Linked DNA regions of Saccharomyces cerevisiae S288C. The gene in region 2 interacts genetically with the main gene of each other region. Each region holds a gene or a part of one and is shown on either strand. Other genes may lie near its edges.

The links.
Region 1: of CBP3 (region 2) and QCR7, changing one suppresses a phenotype caused by changing the other (phenotypic suppression), as found in Saccharomyces cerevisiae (one study listed by BioGRID).

Annotation. Positions count from the first base shown.
Region 1 is NC_001136.10:1,495,665-1,498,513, reverse strand, and holds QCR7 (ubiquinol--cytochrome-c reductase subunit 7), read left to right. Parts: upstream 1-1,965; coding exon 1,966-2,349; downstream 2,350-2,849. Other genes in the region: CAB1 (pantothenate kinase), read right to left, coding at 1-282; APA2 (bifunctional AP-4-A phosphorylase/ADP sulfurylase), read left to right, coding at 746-1,723; HLR1 (Hlr1p), read right to left, coding at 2,657-2,849. UniProt on the Saccharomyces cerevisiae protein: Component of the ubiquinol-cytochrome c oxidoreductase, a multisubunit transmembrane complex that is part of the mitochondrial electron transport chain which drives oxidative phosphorylation.
Region 2 is NC_001148.4:145,555-148,923, reverse strand, and holds CBP3 (Cbp3p), read right to left. Parts: upstream 1,509-3,369; coding exon 501-1,508; downstream 1-500. Other genes in the region: THI6 (bifunctional hydroxyethylthiazole kinase/thiamine-phosphate diphosphorylase), read left to right, coding at 1-355; YPL216W (uncharacterized protein), read right to left, coding at 1,795-3,369. UniProt on the Saccharomyces cerevisiae protein: Chaperone required for the assembly of ubiquinol-cytochrome c reductase of the mitochondrial respiratory chain.

The DNA.
Region 1 (2,849 bases), on a different chromosome or scaffold from region 2:
AAAATTTTCATACAACAAATCATAAAACTTGAAGGCGCCACCACCAGTGGCAATTATATGAGTCATTCTATAGCATCCATTGTTATGTTCTTTGATAATAGAATGCAGAAGTTCCATGAACTTGTCAATTTTCTCTGTTTCAATGGTGTAGAACATCAGCCTGTTACTGTGTATAGGCGAGAAGACTACTTTAGCCAGAGTGCCTCCTATATCAATAGCAAGGTTGAAAGTATTGTCGCCATAATCGCAATTGTAAGATATCTCTTGAGTAATTCGCGGCATTGCGATTCTTTTCGCATGCACTCAATTGGAACTATAAATTTCTTTATTCTGGTAGTTTTTTAGTTTTAATGATCAATCTGTTCAGAAACATAAGTTCTTTTTACTCATCGTTATGTTGGTGAAATAAAATTTCGGCCGATATTGGGGGAACTGCGCTAGTCGTTTAACGTCATGTAAGATTCCTAAGTGGAACAGTCAGAAGTAAAAAAAAAAAAATCGGTCCCGGCAATTACAAACTAAAGGAGCTCAATGCGTAGATCGCGGATAGTTCTCCGCATTTGAGTGAAACTTTTTGAGATACTGTCGTAAATACGCAATCATGAACGACCATATGAATAATACTCGATCATACCAACGTCACGTGTAAAGCTTTTGCCTGTTTCGAAAATGTGTTGAACTATTGAAATATAATAAAATTAAAAGGCAACCGAGCCCCTGGGTCAGAGAAAATAGGAAGACAAAGATGATTGAAGAGAATTTGAAACAGAAAATCCACGATAAGTTCGTTGCAGCCAAAAAGAATGGGCATCTGAAAGTAACGCATGCAGAATCCAAGAAGTTGAAAGATCCTCAAACGACGACACAATATTGGGTGACATTTGCTCCATCTTTGGCACTTAAGCCAGACGCTAACAAGAATAGCGATTCAAAGGCGGAGGACCCGTTCGCCAATCCCGACGAAGAACTAGTGGTGACTGAAGATCTAAATGGTGACGGAGAATATAAGCTGCTACTCAACAAATTTCCTGTGGTCCCTGAACATAGTCTCCTAGTGACAAGCGAGTTTAAAGACCAGAGATCTGCTTTGACGCCAAGTGACTTGATGACTGCTTATAATGTGCTCTGTTCTCTCCAAGGAGACAAGGACGATGATGTCACTTGTGAAAGGTATCTGGTCTTTTATAATTGTGGACCTCATAGCGGTTCCTCACAAGATCACAAACACTTGCAGATCATGCAAATGCCTGAAAAATTTATACCTTTTCAGGACGTATTGTGCAACGGAAAGGATCATTTCTTGCCCACCTTCAACGCAGAGCCATTACAAGATGATAAGGTTTCCTTTGCTCATTTCGTCTTGCCGCTGCCGGAATCGTCTGATCAAGTGGACGAAGATCTTCTTGCTATGTGTTACGTATCTTTGATGCAGAGAGCACTTACATTTTTCCAAGATTGGACCAATGAGTCTCCGGAGTTGACCAAGTCATACAATGTGCTACTGACCAAGAAATGGATCTGTGTAGTTCCAAGATCGCATGCCAAGAGTGGACCGCCATTGATGTTAAACATTAACTCCACGGGGTACTGTGGTATGATCCTCGTTAAAGACAGAGAAAAACTAGAGAACCTCACTGAAGATCCTCATCTTGTGGACAAGTCGTTACTGCAATGCGGTTTCCCCAACACAGCAGGCCAAAAACCAACAGAGTATCACTATTAAGGTCTATTAGCCATATGTACATTGTCTATAGATGTGTAACTGCGCTGTGATCTTGTTTTGACCAATCAGGAGCGACGCGCTTTTTATCGGGTCACCCCGGCGGGGGGCCTGACAATTTACTTTCATAGAGCAGTAATAAAAGGGAAGAGATGTAAAAGCTTGGAAAAATAGCAGTAAAGGTTGTTGTTGGACAATTTATCAGAATATTAGTAACTGTAATTAAACGTTCCAGAAAGAACAAAATGCCACAGTCTTTTACGTCTATTGCGAGAATTGGTGACTATATTTTGAAGTCACCCGTCCTCTCCAAGTTATGTGTTCCAGTTGCCAATCAGTTCATTAACCTCGCAGGTTACAAGAAGTTAGGGCTCAAATTTGACGACTTAATTGCAGAGGAAAATCCCATCATGCAGACCGCTTTAAGAAGACTCCCTGAAGATGAATCTTATGCCAGAGCATATAGAATAATCAGGGCTCATCAAACCGAGTTGACTCATCATTTACTGCCAAGAAACGAATGGATCAAAGCCCAAGAGGATGTTCCTTACCTGTTGCCATACATATTAGAAGCTGAAGCTGCAGCTAAGGAGAAGGACGAGTTAGACAACATAGAGGTCTCCAAATGAAAAGAAGAATAAAAAAATCACCACGAACACACAACCCGAAAAAAAAAAGGCATTAAATATTCATTTGAAAGAAGGGACAGAGACTAAATCATATCCTTTATTATCTCTCTATATATATATAAGCGTTTGCTTGAAACGTTTACTTCATATTATTTATTTATCTATAGTCTGAACTTAAAATTTTATTATGAAATTCGTATATTGTAATGTCTAGTGTTATAAATCGGGTATCTATTAGTATTTATTTTTTCTATAATTATGCAGGTGATGGGGTATCGAGTGGTCTATATATCTTAAATTTATTCTACTATTTCCTAGTGCAGAATAACTTGGCGAAAATTTTGAACTTTCTATTCTTCTTAAAAGATTTTTCTTCATACTGAGTTGAACTGTGCTTACTATCCTTGTTAATGGGAGCAGATTTTTGTTTCGTCGGCAAAATGACACTTTTATCAGATCCACTAGTTTCGTTGTATACGTGGAGGGGTTCTCCTCGTAGT
Region 2 (3,369 bases):
TGGTACTTTTGGAGGCGAATACAAACTTTCATCAGGAACAGAAGGAATAACCGCTGAAGATCTTCCATGTGTAATAATTGAAGATGGCCCAATTCCTATCATGGGTGACATCACTGCAAGTGGATGTTCACTTGGTTCTACAATTGCTTCCTTTATCGGTGGGTTAGATTCCACTGGAAAACTGTTTGATGCTGTGGTTGGTGCTGTCCTATTATACAAATCAGCTGGTAAGTTGGCTTCCACCCGTTGTCAAGGAAGTGGTTCATTCCATGTCGAATTGATTGACGCATTATATCAATTATTCCATGAAAATAAACCAGAAAAGTGGTCCGCTTCTTTGAAGAAATTCAAATAAACTATTTACAACGTAATGATTTTATAAACTGATTAAATAAGGAAGAAAGCCCAAAAAATTGGAAAAAACTTAAGGAATTTGTGCGGATAGTATCTGAAGAATAAATAAGTGTTTTCATAAGTTTTGAAGTTACAAACTAGCTCGTTTAGTTTGTATATGACAGCCTACTTCTCTCGCTTGGTAAGGTTTTAGGATCCTTGTCTAGAGCTTCATATTTTGCAATGGTCTTGGCCTTCAACTCTTCCTCTTGCTTTGGTGTCAGTTTTTCGACCTTCACCCCAGGAGGAACAAACTTGAATTTACCTGTGGCAAACTCTCTGTCTGATAACCTGCTTAGAACATATAGTTGAGAATAAATGTATCTCACAACAGACTCTAAATGAACCATATCAATGTTCTTTCTTCCACCAAAAAGATTTCTCCAGACAGCTGTCGCAAGTGTACCATCATCTGTAGCAAATCCTTCATCATATGCAAATATCGCTCCTCTTAATTGCGTATTGAAATCTTTCAAATATTGATCTGCGATTCTACCAGAATTAACTTTCATTTCCTCGAATAATCTCAGCTCAATGTCAGAAAATGTTCTATCTACCAATTTCTGCTGATAGTTTCTGCCGTATTTGAAAGGCATGGCTCTCATACGTACAAAAAGTATCCACTCGTGCAATACAGTGATTTGAAACCATTGTGAAAAAGTACGTGGTAGCTTCAAATCCTCGTAAAAGTATTTAGCAGTTTCTGATAATGGCTCGTCCTCGTATTGTAAACCTTGCTCTTTACAAATTTTATAATAGTAAGATCCTGCAACGGGCCCTGCCCTCACTCTATCCATATCTAAATGAAATGCTCGAATTACTAGTTCACCCAAGGCTTCTTTCCATTTGGGAAGTTCGTACTTTGACGATTCATATTTACTATGAGCTAGAGGAATTTTATTCTGAGCAGTTTTCACTGGTGCTTTATTGCTTACATCTAGTGGTTTCGAATTCAGATGTGAGCTTTTTGCTAAAAGCTCTGGCGAATCTTGTGCAGTTTCTTTATTTTGCTTGAAAACACATGTTTGATGCAAATAAGCTCTCGAGTAGTAAAAAGGGGACTTTCTAAGGAAAACAGGGAGTCGACCTGAAGTAAATCTATTGACTGACATCATCAAGTGTTGGAATAGCTGAAGAGATTGTTACGGAGATCATAGTGTTTGCTAAATATTAATCTTACTAATGCGTCAGTCGAGGACCAATTTTGACGTTGTTTTCCTTGCTGGCTATAAATTCAGAAGAACGCCGGGTAAAGCCTAAATACAACTCCAGTCAGACGCCCTGAAATGGGCCAATTTATATACGAGGAATAATGAATGGTGAAGATTAAATAGTAAAAGATATTTCTAATATCTTTCTAAGGCGTATACAGGAAGAGTGATTTGAACTGCAGAGTTGTTTCTAGTTGCGTTCTTCATCCTCTCGTCGTCTTGAAATAAGTTGACATTCAATCTCCTCTAATATACCCTGCACATCAAGATGTGCAGCTTTATCTACTCGTTGAGAACTTATCCCATAGCCTGAAACATGACTAATATGCTTATACCTCTGATGATTTAAAAGCTTCGTAAGAATATCCTCTTGCCTTTTTCTTTTCGTTTCAACTATAAATTCGAGGTCTATCGTCCTCAATTGTTCGAAATGAAAATTCAAAGGATAAATCAAATTTTGTTGCTTTTTGAGAAGTGCTCTTTCACATTCTCCAAGGTGAGCTACGTCTTTTAAAATCGCTTCCAAAACGAGATCATTCTTTGTCCTTGATAGTTTTTTGGAAATTTTCTCCATGTTGGAAAAATGTTGGCCGTTGGATGTACAAGTTGTCTCAATTCTTTTCAGTTCAGGAAACGTGAACTCGTTATTTTTCAAAAGTTTGTGATTTTTTTTGAAGGTTTCATCACATTCAATACGCCTTTTAATTTTGAACTGTTGCTTGTATGATACTTCAATACGGTCCATTTTGGATGTCAAAGCTTTCTTCAATTGTCCCTCATTTTCTCTTAAATCATCCAACCTATCTACTAACATATGTATATCTTCTATATCGTTGAAGAAAGCCCATTGATGATGAGAGAGTAGGAGCTTTTCTGGAGTTTCTGATATAATTTTTTTGTCTATGAATGCCGGAATAGTTGGCCTCATTAAGATACCGTTTGAATTAATTATCATGAAATTCTCACCTTGAGCAATTTGATAGTAAGACCCGTCTGTCGACCTAAATATTGAAAAGACTTCTTTTGTCGCGTAGGCAGTACCTTTTGCTTTAGCTAACAACTCCCATTTTTTCAAAGATTCGACGTCGACATCTAAGCAAAAGTTTATATCCGCTTCAGAGGGTCCTTGAACCCACAAAAAACAGCAGTTGTAAAGTTCCTCATTTTTTTCACTGATGGCTGATGACGATCCATTTGAGTCCATCCAATAATATCGATTTCCATTTCTATCTTTACCCAAAATCTCTAGTCTCTTGATATCGCTCTGAATCAATTTTGCCTCTAGGAAGGCGATATCTTCCATTAAGTATGCAATTTTCACTTTAAGGGCATTGACCTTACCTTTACATTCATCTGATCCATATCGGTTCATTGAAACGTTGCTGTGAAGCTTCACGCGATTTTTGGTTAACGTTTTTAGTTGCCGTTTCAATTTGATATACTCTTTTTTTGCACTATCCAACTTTAAGCGGATTCCATTGCACAGTTTTGGTACTTTATCTACCAACTCCTTAATATAACTCGAGAAATTGGACGCAAAATCTACGAGAACCCATAAAACATCAATTTTATCTTTTATAGATAATCTCTTGCGAAAGTTATCCCAGAGCTCATCACCTAAATTTACAAAATTCATGGATAAAGGTAGTATTTTTTTTGTGATACATTTTGCGACATCACTATATGCTATCATATGTGTATTCTGTTGCAAGATTCCAAGGAGACAGATCAACCAATTGCCGTTGCTAAAGTTTTTATTGTGCAA